Linked DNA regions of Neodiprion lecontei. The main gene of each other region encodes a partner of the protein of the gene in region 4 in a complex. Links are inferred from orthologs where the notes say so. Each region holds a gene or a part of one and is shown on either strand. Other genes may lie near its edges.

What was found.
Region 1: THO complex subunit 2 (region 4) and THO complex subunit 4 share a complex: the UniProt entries of both Homo sapiens proteins name them as parts of the transcription/export (TREX) complex. The link is inferred for Neodiprion lecontei from reciprocal best matches to the Homo sapiens genes THOC2 and ALYREF.
Region 2: the proteins of THO complex subunit 2 (region 4) and THO complex subunit 1 are in contact, whole or in part, in a cryo-EM structure (PDB 7ZNL), measured with the Homo sapiens proteins. The link is inferred for Neodiprion lecontei from reciprocal best matches to the Homo sapiens genes THOC2 and THOC1. Residues at the interface, in NP_001075019.1 of Homo sapiens: Leu155, Phe156, Tyr157, Lys158, Gln160, Asn163, Leu164, Leu165, Arg166, Asn169, Glu170, Ala173, Lys174, Ile176, Ala177, Gly180, Gln181, Asn195, Lys197, Ser198, Leu199, Ile200, Gly201, Cys202, Phe203, Asn204, Leu205, Pro207, Asn208, Arg209; in NP_005122.2 of Homo sapiens: Asn134, Arg138, Asn141, Leu144, Arg145, Lys149, Thr153, Cys156, Gly157, Gln160, Leu161, Ala164, Arg165, Phe167, Gln242, Phe245, Arg246, Tyr297, Ala299, Lys300, Phe301, Arg319, His320, Leu323, Gln324, Ile327, Tyr331, Arg373, Phe374, Lys376.
Region 3: THO complex subunit 2 (region 4) and THO complex subunit 7 homolog share a complex: the UniProt entries of both Homo sapiens proteins name them as parts of the transcription/export (TREX) complex. The link is inferred for Neodiprion lecontei from reciprocal best matches to the Homo sapiens genes THOC2 and THOC7.

Annotation. Positions count from the first base shown.
Region 1 is NC_060261.1:38,210,639-38,216,359, reverse strand, and holds THO complex subunit 4, read left to right. Parts: upstream 1-1,852; 5' UTR 1,853-2,018; coding exon 2,019-2,222; intron 2,223-3,390; coding exon 3,391-3,528; intron 3,529-3,786; coding exon 3,787-3,934; intron 3,935-4,366; coding exon 4,367-4,507; intron 4,508-4,685; coding exon 4,686-4,804; 3' UTR 4,805-5,221; downstream 5,222-5,721. UniProt on the Homo sapiens protein: Functions as an mRNA export adapter; component of the transcription/export (TREX) complex which is thought to couple mRNA transcription, processing and nuclear export, and specifically associates with spliced mRNA and not with unspliced pre-mRNA.
Region 2 is NC_060261.1:27,610,276-27,614,912, forward strand, and holds the start of THO complex subunit 1, read left to right. Parts: upstream 1-1,637; 5' UTR 1,638-1,852; exon of another isoform or gene 1,853-2,359; coding exon of another isoform or gene 2,360-2,577; intron 2,578-3,317; coding exon of another isoform or gene 3,318-3,508; intron 3,509-4,637. Other genes in the region: mitochondrial cardiolipin hydrolase, read right to left, coding at 2,360-2,577, 3,318-3,508. UniProt on the Homo sapiens protein: Component of the THO subcomplex of the TREX complex which is thought to couple mRNA transcription, processing and nuclear export, and which specifically associates with spliced mRNA and not with unspliced pre-mRNA.
Region 3 is NC_060266.1:24,841,160-24,844,504, reverse strand, and holds THO complex subunit 7 homolog, read left to right. Parts: upstream 1-1,628; 5' UTR 1,629-1,819; coding exon 1,820-1,829; intron 1,830-2,003; coding exon 2,004-2,428; intron 2,429-2,482; exon of another isoform or gene 2,483-2,558; coding exon 2,559-2,741; 3' UTR 2,742-2,807; downstream 2,808-3,345. Other genes in the region: zinc finger protein ubi-d4 A, read right to left, coding at 115-320, 575-814, 944-1,053, 1,202-1,281; alpha-ketoglutarate-dependent dioxygenase alkB homolog 6, read right to left, coding at 2,836-3,093, 3,176-3,277. UniProt on the Homo sapiens protein: Component of the THO subcomplex of the TREX complex which is thought to couple mRNA transcription, processing and nuclear export, and which specifically associates with spliced mRNA and not with unspliced pre-mRNA.
Region 4 is NC_060265.1:3,424,425-3,429,228, reverse strand, and holds the start of THO complex subunit 2, read left to right. Parts: upstream 1-1,761; 5' UTR 1,762-1,854; coding exon 1,855-1,919; intron 1,920-2,076; coding exon 2,077-2,120; intron 2,121-2,451; coding exon 2,452-2,543; intron 2,544-2,707; coding exon 2,708-2,821; intron 2,822-2,903; coding exon 2,904-3,019; intron 3,020-3,155; coding exon 3,156-3,286; intron 3,287-3,448; coding exon 3,449-3,828; intron 3,829-3,922; coding exon 3,923-4,101; intron 4,102-4,526; coding exon 4,527-4,804. Other genes in the region: 60S ribosomal protein L31, read right to left, coding at 267-417, 972-1,195. UniProt on the Homo sapiens protein: Component of the THO subcomplex of the TREX complex which is thought to couple mRNA transcription, processing and nuclear export, and which specifically associates with spliced mRNA and not with unspliced pre-mRNA.

The DNA.
Region 1 (5,721 bases), on a different chromosome or scaffold from region 4:
GCGGCGGGGAGTCTCTTTACGTGACCGGAAACATACACAAATTAAACGTTCTTCGGGGAAGGTCAATTATTTTTTATGATAGTAAAACCTTGAGCTTTCTGGTGCCGACTTTTCAGCTGGGCCCATCTCCCGCTGCGCTGCAGTGTGTCACCACCCACCGTGTAGGGCTCTCGTGATTGCCAATTAGCCATTTCGGACAATTTTCCGATCATCGGGCCCTGCGGCAGAGCCATATAACGTATTATATCTAGCGTCCATTGTACTTGCCTTGTCTATGATGTCTGTCTCGTGTACACAAAGCCATAGTTTTATAGTATACCCCAGCCGTATTGGATTACTTTTGTACGGAGGCCAGAATCCGTTATTTTTGGAACGATTTCCGCATTGGAATAAAACATGCTTAATTCGGCAACCTAAAGAAACGGGATCCATAATTGTGCTAATCGTTCCGTTTCTATTCTTTTTCAGTTGTCGGGCAAGCGAAGGTGTAAACATTCTTCCACTATACCATCTTCTAAATCCTCGTTGAATGCTACCAGTAATTTTTCTGCAGATTCTCTTATTTCCTTAATTTATAATATCTTCAGCCGTTCTAGAAAACTGAATTTTTCATGAAGCTCTGCATATACCAACTGCGCCATTACAATTCTGCACTGAGACTATCATCTATTACGTTAAATGTATTTATCCGAAAGTCATCTCGCCCACTTTCAGTACTTGGGCTTTCATCTATTCTGAGTTTTCTTTTCTTAATCCGCTTATTCTCCGTTTCATATTCTTGAACAGTCGATGTAGCCTTTACCATCTCTTCAAAGTGGTCGAAGTTATCTCTAATACTTCGGGCGAAATCAGTAAGCGAATGATATAATTCCACGACGGTTCCAATATCAATATTTACGCTCTGCAACTTCAAATTCACAAGGTTGAACCTTTTCAAAATCAAACCTCATAAGTTTGCAATAATGACTGCAAACTGCTCGGTCTCATCACTTGCGATACTTTTTAGAGCAGTGAAACTCCAACCCGCAAGCCGTGTTAAGGAACTTCGTTCCAAAAATGCATTTACAGACCCAATTTCTGCCGCCCCCTAAAAAATGCCGTTCTAGGTCCGAATCTATCGGCCCTATAGGTAAATTCGGCGCTGAGTATGAGTTATGTATTAAACATATCTACATAAATTACATAAGGTACAGCATATAGGAATAACTATACATCTTCATCCTTTGATTAATTTTTTCGACTATTTGTCCTATCGTTTGTATCAAGAAAAGGTTTTTAACGCTGTTAACAGTTAACCAGGTGTATGTTTATGGTGCATGCATCTATTTAGATAACATTATTTTTGTCTATCTGATGGAGTTGGATTAAAATTGCTGAATTTGGCTAAAATGAATTTGCATAGTTGAAAAGTATACGGCGTCCTTACGGGGTCATATAAGGATTTCAGTCTGTTCCTGTTCGTCATTCCATAGGAAAATAACATTTAATTCTGCATTATTTGGGTACACGCGGTGAGTCATTCGGTTTTTGTCGCCTTTACGTACCGACAGCTTGCCGGCTTCAGTTGCGCATGCAGGGAAGAGCGCAGATGGCGTTACTTGACGATAAATTAATCTCGTTCATTTTCGATTACAAAAATTCCCACAAGGCTATCAGTATTTATATACCTTCAGTTAACGCAAATGAAAAATTCCGCAAATTTTGATAGTGTTATTCGGAACTAAAACACATTATTATATTTTTATTTTACGAAAAATATTTATAGAGGAGTGGGGGGGCATACCTGGCCCTCTAGCGGCAGAGTTAGAAAGCTAACCAATCTGGTAAAAGGCCGGGCGGACGTCTACGGTTGATCAGTTTACGAACGTCCCTGCAGTTGTGTAGACGCGTCGCTCGTAAAAGCTCGTAGTAGTTTTCGACACTCTTCGCGGTCTTGATCGCCATCTTTGACATAACGGGGTGAGGTTGGTTTTGTGCGTACGAGTCCACTGTTAAAGCAAAGAATTTATTACGTACAAATGAAGATGGTAGACAAAATAGAAATGAGTCTGGATGACATTATCAAGCAGAACAAAGGTGGAAGAACCCGGGGCAGCGGACGTCGTGGACGCGGAACAGCTTCGCCGAGACGTGGTATCCGAGGTGCGTCGCGAGCCGGCGGTGGAGTGATGCGCGGCCGAAGCCGAGGAGGAATTGGCCGCTCAGCCGTTCCATACACCCGGGTAATTATTAATTTTCCATGCTCATACTCAGATCATTCCAGATATCCCAAGTTTTTCATAAATTTATATCCGAGACGAAGTTGCTTTTTTCTACAAACACTCATCGGGCATCATTCGCCTGTGTGTATCGATGCATATATGACCGCTAATTTCGGAACTGCACACATGCGGTTGTGTTCTTATTGCGGATATTATATCACGTCAATTTGTTTTATTTCTTTTTTGAATTTCACTTTTCCGTACTTCATTCATCGCTTCCAAAATTACAATTACGTTATTAAAAACAAAATTAGGAACTGCAAAATGCAGGAACGCTACACTCCCAACACCAAAAAATTCTAAATTGCGCCATTTTAATGAGCGCGCCTGATTAAACGTGGTATCAATAAAATTTTCACGTTTGACCTTTTCAGCTAGAAAATGCGTTTCACTTTTTGATAGTTCTCCCACGGTGTAATTTTCTTGTATTACTTCATTGGCATAATTCGATCGTTTGTGAATAATACGAATAAAATAATCTTGATACTGCAGTGTCTATATTGGTTTCCCATTTGTTTTTGGGTAGTCTAAAAAGAAGCATACAGTAATGGTTTTTTTTTTTTGTAAAATTCTACAAATATTCATTCACAGTCAAACATGAACAATCTATTATATATGTTTAAAATGCAAATAGTTTACTTTAACCAGTTATTTTACAGATGGTTGTAGTTTGACCTCGTTCACTTGTGTACTTCTAAACTTCTTTTAATTTTTTTGTTTCTCTTTTAAGATACCACTATTATCCACAATATATTTTTGTTTACATCAAAAAGAATTCCACAAGATGAGTTGATAAATGCTACTACGATGAATTTGTCAGTCGGAATGTTTTCACCCAGTTGAATAAACATCACGATTACATAGTTTTCTGTTTTTTGTGTTAAAAAATATACGAGTAATTGTAAAGAACAAGTAAAGTAAATGATATTCATAAGCTTCAATAAGTATGTATGTTCAACTGTTAAATTATATGTATGAACTTGTTCTGTTTTACCTGATAACACACAGAAACACACAAGTCTCGTGAAGGTCTATTTAGAATGAATTGAATATATTCGAACTTTGTTTAATTTAAGACTATTGAACCTCTCGTTCATCATAATAAGATTGGATTGTGTGTTAATTTTAGGGAGATGTGAACAGTGCTTGGAAACATGACATGTTTGATGGAGTGAAGAAAGTTGGACGAGGTGCAGTTGGTGGTACAGGCACAACCAAACTACTTGTTTCAAATTTAGATTTTGGGGTGTCCGATTCAGATATTCAGGTAAAATATTAATGCAATGTATATCTAATATTTTCCAGTCTATTCAACAACTTTTAGTTTCTTATCAAGAACATGTCTCTAATTTTATAGATGGTGATATTCATTAAAACCTAATTCTAATACTTAATTTGGGAGTTCAAGTTTTCTGAAAATTCAAATAACTTTTAAGTAGATCTCTAGTTGAAAACATGTAAACGAAATTTTTTGACAGTACTTTAATAATTAATTGAATTTTTTTTCATCTTAAATGACAACTAGGAATTATTCAGTGAGTTTGGCCCATTGAAATCAGCTGCTGTACACTATGACAGATCTGGTCGATCGCTTGGCTCAGCAGATGTTATATTTGAAAGAAGAGCAGATGCCATTAAAGCAATGAAACAGTACAATGGCGTGCCTCTTGATGGTAAGTTTTTTTTTTCCTCTTAATATTTCAAGTTCAATTACTATACAGTCAAAATATTGTGCGATTTTCATTAATGCAAAAGTAATAGTGGAGGATAAATTCTTTGTAGTAAAGTATTAATACAGTTTTTATGACACATGCATGAAAAATTCGCATTTTGAGGACTGTTTTCAAACTGTAGAATGGTACTTTACACTGCTGACTTCAGAACTGCAGTATAAAAAATTTTCATGTTGCACTGTAAAAAATATCGTATGGAGCTCGAGTGTAAATTGCTACTCGGTCCATCTAACGTTTGTGGCACGTCATACTTTCGGTATGTCGACGACCATCGAATCGTCTGTGCTGATAACATCTGTCTTACCGAACAACACTCAGTTCACGCCCATGCTACGCAAAATAACTACTTAATACTGACTATTCGGTCAACAGGTCGAGAGATGAATATTCAAGTAGCAACTTCAGAACTTCCAGTAACCTCATCTATCCGAGGAAGTAGACTCAGTGGTGGTAGCTTCGTACAAAGAGCCCAACCGCGCTTCAGAGGAGCTCGTGGAGCTAGTTCCAACCGAGGTACTTTACTGTTTACTTGTTACTCGTCTACCAATTATCTCAAAATAGTTGATGTATTAGAATTTAAGTTTCCCAGAAGAGCCCGTAATGTTAGTGTAGCGAATATTTTTTATATCATTAATACTTACCCACTTGCGAGTTTATTACGTCTAATTGGATGGATGTTTGTTTTCATTAGGTCGTGGAACCGGTGGTCGACGTGGTGGAACTAGAGGAGGTGGACGGACGCCAGCCAAAACTCCAACTGCAGAAGAGTTGGATGCAGAATTAGAAGCATACGTTAAGGAAGTGAAGTAACATAAGATAGCATAAAATTCTACTACATATATCTTCTTTCTCATTTAACGGTTCTTTTATTAATTGAAGAACGTAACAATCTCTTATTTCCAAATAAGTTAATAATCATGAAATTAATACGTGAGAGTAAAGAAAAAGATTTTTTTTTGATTGTCTCGGAATGAGTATTTTTTAATTATGTTTGACGTTCTACTACTCATAGAGTTTAGATACCTAATAACAACTCAAATGCAATATGAAAAAGCTGCAGAGTAAAATCGTACCGTGATTTTTGGCATCCGAGGTAAAAAAAATGTCCATCAGACATGGGAAAGAATACAAAGTTGTGACATAATATAAAGGCTGTATGAATTTTGTATGTAATACCGTGCGTGTGTGATCATAAACTGAAAAATACACTCAAATTCTCCTTCAAAAGTTGTTATTTATCAAAGTACGTCATGTGCTTATAGCCCTTAATAAGTATAAGTTGAAGGCAACACTGTAAAAATAACTTTAGCCTTATGTAAGTGGCGTTCCTATTATCATCATCCTCTTTAATAATAATCAAATTACGCAGATTTTAAGTGTAGCACATTTACAATAAAGTGGGTAATTGTTATAGAAACGTCTTAACAGTGTTGATAACGATATTATACAATACACACAACATTATAACGTTTAAAATGCTTGTAATCATTTGTAATTGTATCCAAGATGATGAGTTTTTTTCACCATAGTGAACTATTGTCGTTATCAAATAATGACATATGCAAGATTTTGAGAAGAAAAAAATATGAGGGAAAAAAACCACCGCAAATAATTGAGCTGCGATGTGTTAAGGCTGTGAACATATAATTCAGTCAGGTCATCAGTAACTAATTTCTTTCTCAATAATGGCCTGATATTACTGGGTGTCGACGTGTATCTCCAATACA
Region 2 (4,637 bases), on a different chromosome or scaffold from region 4:
CGCTAGATTTACACATGGTAATTCATAAACTGAAAATGTAAACTAGCGATATTCTTTCCTACCACTTCGAATTATACAATTCGACAATTATGAGGATAAAATAGACGATCTGTAAATATCTGACCGTCTGAGTGGTAGAAACTTCACGAGAATGGGATTCAAAATACTATGCGAAGTAAGAAATACTCGAACGGTATTCTAGCTCTAGCGGTTACCGCTAGATATCGCGCCAATCTCGTAAGTGAAACTACTCGGCAGTAACTTATAGTTATAACAATTCTTGGAGACGAGATTTATTGTGTCCATCTATTTTTGAAGCATAGTCAAGGCAAAGATAGATACATTTCGATTTATCGTCTGTGTATACGTATGCATGCCTGATACTTGCGTCTACTAAGAAACGAAGACAAATTGCGAGGCAACGCGATCTGAATAATCCGTATTAGCATAAGTTGAACATACATCGTGCTTGCAAGCAATGTGAGTGAGTTCTGCGATACGGTGAAATTGAGGATCGCTTACTGGGGATGATGTCACAATCGTCATGGCAACTCCCACAAAAGGGTATTTGAGTCAAGGAAGAAAGCTCATCGTCGGTGTTTAATTACCGGTTTTCGTTTCCGTCTCTGAATTATTCATGGAGTCTCAATTCTACGTAATATTTTTGAAAGTCGTTTATGTGTTTGAAAATACAATGCAGACTCAATGAAGTTTTCATTTGTTGGGATATTCATTCAATTTCAAAGAATCTGCCAGTATAATAGTTGGGAATGTATGCCTGGACCAATATGTTTCGAAATAAATCATACGCAGTTCGTTTTTCTAATAATATAGACTCGGAGAAATTATAGCATGTACATTAAAGAAAAAGATGGAGAATGTTACGATGTGTAATTAAATAACTATGATATTTTGTAACATCGGATTTATGTTATGTTTGAATGAGTGAAGGATTTTTGGATTTTTCATTGACAGAAAAACTTTATTGAGAGGTATTGTAAAACAATTGCTGGAAAAATGTTGAGTTGGGATTTGAAAAAAAAAATGTATTGCACAAGTTTTTATTCATCATACTGTTTAATAACAATGATTCGACGTTTGGATCTTGTATACACACAGCATGTTGAAAATCATGGAAGTTTCATTCTTATTCTACACTGGAAAATTTGCTCGAAAGAGAACGTCAAGAAATCGTAATAAGAATAATAAACTTAATGAAAGTTAATAGCGTTAAAATAATTAATTGAGAAAATTAATTAGTCTTAAAAAATACAGCATTTCGCTCAAACAATCGATAGATATTTCGATCTTATTCAGGTGTTGGATATATTTACCTCACATTCGATGGCCGAACATTTTCAAAGTACACGAGTACAGCTAAAAAATTTTACGAACACAAGCTGTACAGTTAAAAAAATTCACTTACGCAATGCTGATTTTTTTCAACGGCTAAATATTGACGACTTCTTCGTGAGTATTTCTCTATTGGAAGACTATTCAATTACAATACTCAAACTTTGCACTGAGTTCTGTGTTATACAAGTTCAGATTGTGCATGTGTGCCAAATCAGCGCGGTGACATAGGTTAACAGCTAATTAATTCAACTAGTTATACTGAAGGTCAGGGGTATTTTTCAGATGAAAAGGTCAACGCATAAAGCCGCACGTCACGGCATCCTCATGCGTCACAGCGCAGACGCATGCATTAAAGCTCCATCACGACCGTACCTCAGAAGCATCATTCAGACGATAAATTACGATTCTGGATTCCTCGTGAATACTGAAAAAGGCGTCATCGCCATATCTGTATCGAGTTCGGACGAAGACCCTACTTCTGTGCTAGGCTGCATGGGTATGTACCGCAATATTTGATAGTTTGGTAGATTTTGTCGCAGAAATACAAAGAATTGTATTTCGAGTCAGGAAATTGCCAATTGATTGGTAAATCTATGCATTTCGTACGCCCATGCTCTTCTTTCAATTTTCATAATCCCTCGCACTGACTCTCCACAGTCTATGTATATTAATGTCTTGAACAACATTTCACTTACAATTATTTCTATGAGTATCGAATCGGAATCGAAATACGTTTAAATAACCTCCCTCGAAATATTTCCTGAATATTACTAATTTATTATCGTCAATAGCTACTCGGTGTATTCAAACGCGTAATGCACTTCAGATTAAAGCGGTCCATCAATCGTAAACGGCGGCTTCGTTCCCAGAAGGGAATATAGTCTCAAAACGACTAGGAACCAGTGGTGTAAAAGAATTGTTTAAACATATTCATCAAAGTGTTTTTTCAAATTATTCCATACTTCGTTGCGGTATACGTTTGAACCAAATGAGTTTATATTCATCAGTCTTCGCCTGTGGTGAGCAAAATCCACATTCTGTCGAATTCCGCAATGAACGGCTTGACTAGGGCGAGTTGATTCGAAACTATGACGTTGTCCCAGTTTCCGTGCATCGCTTGCATCGTCCAATTTGTACTCCCCGTCAAAATCAGCTTCCTATCAATTATCGCAAACTTGTGATGCATCAAGTATTCCGATTTCTTCATCCTCACTCGAATACCTGGCGATGAGGTTATACAAGAAACGATTAAATATCATTCGCTTGACCTTTATTTTGATTTTTGATTCAACTTTGTATAGCTGCTATTTACATGAAGAATTTCACAAATACTCATTGATTATACAGGTGAGAAATACTAGCTTTGCTTCCACTTTGAGATTTGAAATTTGAAAAACGGTCTATAATTGTGTGATTTTAGCGGGTATAAACGAAATTCTCGAGGTCCCTGTAAATTTCACGTTGTTAAACGACATGCATTAATCAACTCAAAAAACACATGTTTTCACGTTCAACGCACTTGTAATTGCACTTGAAACTTAAAACCCTGATTTCGTCACGACAGATTCTTTTTTCAGTACGTTGTTCGAATTTTCTTCGATTTTCGGTACTTGATTAATTTTTAAATTACAGAGTCTAATTCGGACGTGAATAGTTCTTGAGAAACTGTGTACCTAACGGCATAGAATATCTACGAAATTTCATCAATATCGTACAAACTATTTCGAATCAAGATATCACGTGAAGAGTGTCGAAAAACGTTGTTTCGAGTAAATTAATTGTGAATTTTACCGTATCAATTGCAAATACTAAAAGTTGACTTAGAAATTCTACGCGAAATGGTGACGAATCGCCTTACTTTCTGAGAAATCCTGTTATTCAAATTGTTTGGGAGTGATTTAGATAATGATACGCGTGCGATTTGAAGAGCCTGAATTGCTTTGAACTAAGTAAAATCTTACCTCGTTCTCGAAAATCTCTTATACGACGCTCACAGGCGGAATTTTCCGCCATTCCTCCATCGACGATAATTCTGACAACTACTCCGCGACAAAACACCTTGGCTATCGCTGCTGCTAGATCCTCACAGCTGAATAGATACATGCAAACATCGAGATTTTGCTGAGCAGATTCCAAATATGCGCATAGTTTCCTACAGCAGAAAGAATACGTATTTCACAAGTCGTATATATCGTAGCGGATCATTTACAGCAGACAGGCCGTGTCCGTACTAAAAGCAACATGACGACGTTGAAGCAAAGATTTCCAGGGTGGGTGTTTCGACGCTTCGAATTGAATAGATATCTTGTGATCTGTCTGTTACGAAATATGATGTTTGTCGGTAGCAGGGTAGGTTATAAAATCTACGAGATTGAAGTTAGCAACGTTATTGTAACGAAACGTTGAGAAATAATCACTATTTTATTACGGTTTGCTGAATTTCAAACAGCTGCGAAATTATCTCTGTGAAGTTGGTACCCCATTTTGGAAAAAGTAAGTTTTCGTTTTTACGAGTTCTGGATAGTGCTCAAATAGTTCTACAGTTCTATACCCATATGAGAAATACTTCTGGTTGTTTACCACCAATTGTAAGAAAATAATAAACAATAAAAAAAATAACAACAATGCTAGCACCCCACAATTAAAGTACGGCAATTTTTTCGAGTTCTAAGAAGATTTCAGAAATAGCTCGAGAACTCTTCGAATTCTGATTGAATCGGAAAAATTCATTCGAATGATTGACGGAACTCACGCTCGTCTATGCGAAACTCTCATCGGAACTTTGGGAATGGTTAAAATTAATTTTCGCTGTAAGTAATGCGCGTGGATATTTTGTTCAATATCTCGGTAACGAAACAAAATAAAAAAATTTGAATCGGCTGAAACTCTAGAATTCTGAAAAAAAAATGACTGGTTTTAAATAACGGAGTGCTAGCATTTTTGTTATTTTTTATTTTCTATTTTATTAGTGGTAAATAACCAGAACTATTTCTCATATAAGCATAGAACTGTAGAACAATTCGAATACCATCCAGAACTCGCAGCAAAAACTTATTTTTTCGAAAACGAAGTAATCAGCGAAGTTGGCACCCCATTTTTTGAAATTAATTTTTTGAACCCTAATTGACCGGAACTATTTTTGAAAATTATCCGGAACTTTAGAACTCTTTGAGAAGATTCAAGAACACTCGAAAATTTTTATTTTTTTTTTTCAAAAATGGGGAGCCTACCTCACAGAGGTTGCAAAATTGCGAAATAACGGGTTTTCATCAGCATGAGTC
Region 3 (3,345 bases), on a different chromosome or scaffold from region 4:
CATTTGTATAAAGTTTTCAATATATCTAAACTGTTTAATCCATGAAGTATCTTTCCAGTATGAATAAGTTCGATAAAAAACTGATGGAAGCAATACATTGTATATTAAACTCACCTTTGTTCTTTTGGCCCCAGGACTGTCCACGGTGGGTGGATGTCCCCTGATAGGATGGTGGGCTCCACCTCGGGGCCTTCTTCTCCGTCTTTTACTACTATAACTTTCTTCGTAGTCATAGTCACTGTCTGGATCGGGTTCGTCGAAGGCATCCATGTCCAGCATGTCTTGCTCATCATAGTACCAAGCATCCTTACTATGTTCATCTGAAATAATTTTTTCTTAATAATCGTTGAACATCAAGACTACAAGAGAGTTTGCGGAAACATACGTAACAAGTAATTTCAGTAGGGCTTAAAATATATTTTAAGCATTGAGGGTAGTGAATTGGCAAATCTAACGAGCGACGAGAATCAATTGGACCGGAAATTGTATCAACAATTATTGCACGCCCACTCGGAAGGAGATGCCAATCAGATGTATGTGATAACATGGAAAGTAGATATTGATTAGGACGAACCTTTGAGAGCAACAGAATCTTTGCTGTCATCATTTAGTCCCGCAACAATTCCGTCGGCTCCTTCGACTCCGTCATCTATATCCCCTCGGGTGCCTCGTTTTGGGTGAAGATAGTGCATCAGATACTGTCGCCGCTTTTTCCGCCATCGTTTGCTCGGGTAAGTATATACCTGACCATGCATCAAGCCTGGGATTCGTTCTCGAGCCGACATGAAGAGAGCCGAGTGATTTTGGGCGACTCCTGTGGTTAGAAAAAACTCGTTTATCAATAGCCATTGATTAACCAAGACAGGAATGACGGGAATGTCAAGATATCCAGTAACTAATGACAATAATCACAGGAAGTAATCAACTGGTTCCATCTACTTACCAGTTTGCGAGTCGAGGAAGGGCATTCGCAGTCTTCGTTCTCTGCATAGTCTTGTGTTATAATTGGAAGAATTCTCTATGGCTTCTCTATAGGCGGTGTCGTTCAGGAAGCTGCGGACAGATCAATACATTCAACATAGCGAAGTGCAACCCGCTCGTCCTACGACGGAGCAAAAATCGTCGAGGTTAAATTACTCTGTCAATTTAACGATGCGAATATTTCCATCAACATATGTGACAATCGTCTGGTCGCACTCACCTCTCGATTTTACTCAAATTCGACTCGTTCACTACTTGAATTAGGTGATGGGACGCTGGGAGAGCTGTCACCGTCGCCATCTTCAAGCAGTTTCCATCTCATGGGGAAATCGGAAATGCAACCGCCATTGTAGCCTTCATTAAATCTGCCGGAAGTACAAGGAAGAGTCGATCAGGGAGCGTATAATATAATCCTACATTATATATTAAAGTTGCGACAGATAGCGATTATTGCTAAAGTGGGACAATTGATATGTCACGAGCTTTGGCTTCACAAATGTGGAACAATTGATTTATAATCGATTCTTTATAAGAAATTTACAATTTTTCATCTCGTGCACATGCGATAATTTCCCTGGAGTCGATGATCGAATAGAATCAGTGCGCAAGTCACGTTACGTTGTAAATAAAATGGCGACTGACTTGTGGTAATTGTTGACTCTTTCTTTACCGACTAAAATTACGATACCGTGTGTTTGTAGTAGCTTATTCTAATTGAGGTTGAACGAAGAAAAAATTCGGTTCTTTTCAACGCAAATTGAAGTTCGACCTAGCTGATGTTTACACCTTGAATAAAATTTTTAAACTTCAAGAACCCGACGTCACTACATCATCGAATATGTCAGATGGTAAATAGCCAAATATAATTCAAAATCAAATTGTAAATGCGACATTTATGTCAGTTTCACGGTATAAGCGCCGGAAAGTGAGACATAACCTCATTTTGTGTTTTTATACAAAAAATTAGCTTTGTGATTATACTACAACATTAGTTAAACGTTTTTAATTGCACGATTTTTTAGAGGAAGTTATACGACGTCGTCTACTCATAGATGGAGATGGAACAGGCGATGATAGACGGATAAACGTTTTGTTGAAGTCGTTTTTAAAATGGGCAAATACTCCGGATCCAGACAATACTGTGCATGAAAGAATGCTGTCACAGCTAGCCCAGTGTGAATTCGCACAAAAAAAATCTCGTCTCGTAGCAAATATGAGTCAAGAGGAGTTAAAGAATTATGAAAGGATGTCAAAGGATATTGGTATTCAAATTGAAGAGGCTAAAAAAGAAATTGAGAAAACTAAGGTCGAGCTACAAGATGCTAAACGTGTTCGTAAAAATAGAATCGAGTATGACGTTCTTGCCAAAGTGATCAGCGAACAGCCTGATAGACTTGAAACAGATGTGAAGCTCGCCACTTTGCGTAAAGAGTTGGGAACCTTGAAGGTATTTTATGGACAAATTTTTTATCCTATCTTAGAAATAGTTTTAAATCGTTCATTTTTATGTCGACAATTAGCCGATTAAAGTGTGTCTCTTGGGAAAAAGTACGGCAACAACTATTTTATTCTTACAGGAAAAATCTGAACAATTAGAGCATAAGCTAGAAATGCGAAGAAAACAATTCCATGTGCTAATATCGTCGATTCATTCGCTACAAGGAATGTTGGATGAGTCTGATGAAGAAATAATGGACGTCAGTCTTGAGAATTACGAGGATGTGGATGTGTGTATGTCTCCAAAGGCTGCAGCCTGGTAAATGTTTCAAATTTTCCCCCGTAGCGTTTTGCAACAATAGATTATTGTAGGAAAGTAATTGAGAGATGAATTTGAGCAAAATAAGATCGTCAAAATCATCTTCCTAGTTTCAATTTGAGCTTGCTGGTCTTTGGAACGTGCCTGATAGTCAGGGATAATCTTGTCCCTCTGTCAATCACTTCATTCTCTTGATATTTCACAGCACAGAGATCTAGATTCATAATGTTCTTCCTTGAAATCGTATCACAATGCCTCTCAGAAATTGAATGCAGGTACTTGTGGTACAGGTCGTTTTCTAAAATAAGTAAACTTCTTCTCTCAAGTAGCAAGGTAAACTCCAGATTAGAAACTTCCTACGAATAAAGAATTCAGGAATAACTGTCAAAAAGCTCGTAGTTTCTCACCCTTATCAATATTTCTTTTACAGATACTTACTACGTGGTCAGTCTCATTCCGCTTATAAAAATCCAGGAGAGTGTGCGAGCCACAACTTATTGTTGTAACAATAGGATGAAATAATGGACCATCCGAATGTGCCTGTATAATAAAAAGTCAGTCCATATCAGGGACAAAAGGAAGAAGACTGTACGATTTTGTGTTATTCA
Region 4 (4,804 bases):
GTTGTTGATTCTCTAATTGATCGATCGAAATGTAGTTCTAATTTTTAGTAGTTTGTCAATACGATTTGAAAACCGCCTTGAGTAATTAATAACTTGGCTCGATTGTGATTGCTAAAGAGTGTGTCATTTAAAAATTAGAATAATCAATGATGATCCAGAACACTTTGAATGAAAAAGATGGGATCATAGCGTCAAGGATAGGGCAATGATATGTGAACAAAAACTGTGGTGATATTAGCCAAAATTATTTATTGCTCAAGAATAAATTATTCTTGACTAGCATCCACATTTTCTGTCTGGAGTCCCTTGAAGGTGGCAACAGGGATGTATGTAACTAGTGTGTACAATTTGTTTGCAGAGTCTTCGTCGTCGTTCCTTCTCCTGCTAAGGCGGACGCGAACACGGAAGGGGACATTTCTGAAAGCAAGAATGAAAAATATTTAATACAATTTGAGTACAGGTATTACAACAGTATTTGTTTCAATTTTACAATGTCAACGAGTCCACCAACTAGACTGTGAAGTAATTGTAATTGTATTTAAATGGGATGTGAAAGACTGCCATCTAAAATCAACTAGGACACAACTGCCGTTTGTAAATCAATTAGGAAGAGTCTCCATAAATTATTGAAACGGTCAATAAACACGAGGCTAGCTAAGCGTATTAACTTCCGTCCGAAAAGGGAACTTTTGAGCCGAAAAGACTCCTCATCCTGTCAAGTGATTAGACTAAATAACAAAACTTATCCACATCGGCTATCACATATCTCACATATTGTAACCTTATTGATTACTTGTAACAGCCAGAGGAGCATAATGTGATGCTCACTGGGTTAGAAGTGGTGGACATACAGTTACACAGTAGGGTTAACTTATCTATACGTTTGACATGCTACGTTTTGCGAAATCTATTTATTGGGTAAAGCGTGAACTGGAGTTTAACTGACAACTGTGTTTATTCAGTCAGCATACCTGATTCCCTTGGACCACAGCTGCTTGTTAAGACGTGTGTCGATCCTAACGTCAGGTGTGCCCATTTGTTTTTCGGCGAACTTCCTTATTTCCTTGATAGCTCGAGGTGCCCGTTTCTTGAATCCGACGCCATGCAATCGTTTGTGGAGATTGACCGTATATTCACGTGTCACGACCTCATTCATCGCGCTTTTTCCTTTCTTTTCGCCCGTAGATTTCGCCATCTTATACCTAACCATGTAAACAACGAAAAAGTGGTTAACCTCGTGTGCTGTAGAAAGATCACAGAATAATCTAATTTTCGAGCTACAATATTACTGAATATATATTTGTTGGGGTATTAAGAAGCACTTGGCACTGCCGGCATTAATTATTATTTAACACAGTCGCCGATGTTTTCAGATTTTATTTTCTACAAATTTATCATTACCTCTCCGATAAAATGGAAGTACTCAAAAGAGCCACTAACCGGTTGTGTTCCGAAAACAATCAAGGATTTCCACTCAGAAGGGCATATTCCGTCACCAGGAGCCGAAGAAATTGGACAAATATTATATTTGTGTCCTTTGGGAAATTTTATAAATAATTTGTTATACAATGAATCCAATCTTCAATGATTAATAAAATAACAACCAAACACTGCGACACGAACAATAAAGAATATACTAAAAGTTATAGCGTAATGGGGTGAAAACTGCAAGAACTTTAGCTTCTTCCCTAGTAAGCATCTAGGGATTTTGTTTCTCGAAGAATGGTATAAGATGCCCTGGTCTGATTTTCAACCAGTTTATGAACGCGCACGCGAGCCTGTAAAATGGTCTCCGTTAACCTGCGATGTTGATAGTAATGTTTGTAAGCTAAAATTTGTATAATTAATATTAAAATGGCTGGTAAAATATGGAATTCCGAGTTATGGAAATCATGGGATAAGCATGGAAAAAATGATTTGTAAGTGATTATCAAAATTGCGCCGCGCTCGCATTTGATTAATATTGAATTGATACCTACCTGCCTTCTCTGTGAAATGATGGTTGCAACCACCCAACTTATCTCTCCTGTTTCTCGCTCTTCTCAAGAGTTAATGTCAATTACCAACTGTTTGCAGCCTCAAGTTAATCAAGCAAAAATATAAGGAAGGGAACACAACAGGTATTAATGTATTTCAATATCCCATTTACAGCTGATCTCTACCACCTCACTTTGTCTTTGCGAATATCTTTTTAGCTTTACTTTGCTTTACTACCTCCAAACAAACTTATTCTTTAGCAGAGAACTTTTTTTGAATTTTGTTTTCAATTAACTGTCACATCATTTTGTAAATGTTTGAAGTTTTCAATTTGTACCGTGTGCAGCTGGCGGGTGTACTAAGTGCATGCTGATATGATAGATTCAGTCGCTAGACAAAGTCAGATTGTGCGCTTCCTTTTTCTGCATAATAAATTAAAATCAACCATTGTTTTTATGCTTTCAATAATTTCAGAATGGAGAAAGGGTTTATACCAATTGATATCAAATGGAATCCGAGGAAACGTAAAAAAGGATAGTGTAGTGTCGACACTTGGTGAACTTATGGTAAGGCAAATCAATCGTTTGCCCTTATAGCTCACATATCTCGAAACTATTGATGTTTTAATTCAAGTTTAAACACTTTATATTAAAAAGAAACTCATTACTGTGATCATTTAATGATTATGCAGTTGTTCAAATCATTGTTAAATTACATATTTTTTTTACAGAATATTGATGGTGCGATTCCATCAGCTGTTGTAGACATATTTACATTAATCGATGCTGAAGCGCATAATGAGGATAGAAACAATTTGTATTACATTGTCAAAGAATCGGAAAAGGTAATACTTGATTGCAAGCAACAAAAACGAATGTAGGTCATTTCCTTAGTGTGGCATACTAATCAGTATTTCTCTTTTTCAGTTTCTCACAGATAGAATCTTGAAAGAGCGTCTGGAAATTGATACTCTTCAAGATGTTGGGACGTTGAAGAATCGCAATTTTCAAACTAAGTTCATCAAAGTTAAAACCAAACTCTAGTACGTATGATTTTTTGATAAGAACATCATCTGTTACATCTCACTAGATTTAGTATACATAAATTTTGTTTTACCTCAAATTCTTACCACCTATCAACTGCTTGCAGTAATCTGTAATATCAATTTATTATTTCAGCTACAAACAGCGAAAATTCAATTTGTTTCGCGAAGAGAGCGAAGGATATTCTAAACTGATTGTTGAATTAAATCAAGAATATCAAGAAAATGAAGTTGCATCTACCTTGGAGATTGTCAAGTCTCTCATTGGTATGATATAGGCACTGAGTATTTGACTACTCTTAAGACATTGTTTCTTTTCCAAGATTTCGCAACGAAGAAAAAACTTGATAAACTTGAGATAAAACTTATTCGCTCCTACTACATGCCAAAGTGTGTGACGTTTAATTAATATATTGATATTAATTTCAGGTTACTTTAATCTTGACCCTAACAGAGTTCTTGATATTTTGCTGGAAACATTTGAAAATCGGCCAGATGACGACAGTTTATTTATTCCTCTCATTCGCTCTTACATGAGTGACCAGCAAGTACTTTGCGAAGTTCTAGGCTTTAAATATCGCTCTTCAACAGCAGCAACCCCATTTTCTTTACAGAAAGTTGCAGCATTGATGTTGCAACATCATGTAATCAAACTGGACGATATTTTACCCTGGCTTGTGCCAGACGACAAGGATATAATTAAGGATCATGAATTGGCAATGAAACAAGCTAAAGAATATGTTAGAAAGATGAGTGTCATATCCACTAAAGATAAGGAGGAAGTCCCTGAGGAAAAAGATGTCGTACAGGTTTGTATCATTTATCATACTAAATATCATATTGAACTTCTTTTGTATAATTTGGACTTTAGGTACAGGTGTCCAATAATAATTTATTTGGCAGGATAAGTACGTTACCAATCAAAAGTTTGGACTCTGTCAAGCATTATTAGAAGTCGGTGCATGGGACATAGCACAGAATTTATTTAAACGACTACCAGATCATTGCTTTACTGATCAACGACCAATCGCACTGGCACTTTGCAGAATGATTCAGTCAATCATCGAACCAGCCTACAGAAAGTGAGTTCAAAGCTTACAGAATGAATCTTTTTCCCAAAACTAAAGTCAATCAACTTGTGCATTGGCACTAAGATATTATTTCAAGGGTGACCCAGGACTATTGCTCCATAGGCTACCAATGTATTTTTCATTAAAATCTGCGATTGAGACGTTTTTACTTCTAATAGAAAATTTGTGTTTTGCGAATTACAGCTATTTGAAATTGGCTAATCCGGTAGTATTTTATGGCTCCGAACAGAGCTGGTGGATCGTAATTTGATCATTGTACTCTTGGTAACTGTCCTGAGCCATCAGCTGTCACCGAATACTAAATAATAAATATATATATAATAAATTCACGTCTAAAAAAATTCACGGCATATAATGTAACATACCATTGACAGTATAATTTTTATGCAGAATAACATTCAAGTATCGATTTCCAGATACTGCATCATATCACCAAAGTTACCTGGTAGAAAAGTGCCGCCAATGAAAAGCCCTCTAGCTCCACTGCCTTTTTATAAATTGGACGACATACACGATCGTTTACTGCCAATGCTGATGATACTTGGACCTAACTTACATCACGATGCAATTTTGATGTACAAAATTATGCGTCTGTGTCACGTTGCTATCAAGCAATGCGAATTGGACTCAAATAAGCAACCTATAAGCAAAGAAAACAATCTTTACTATGATGTGCTTACAATTTTGGATGTGG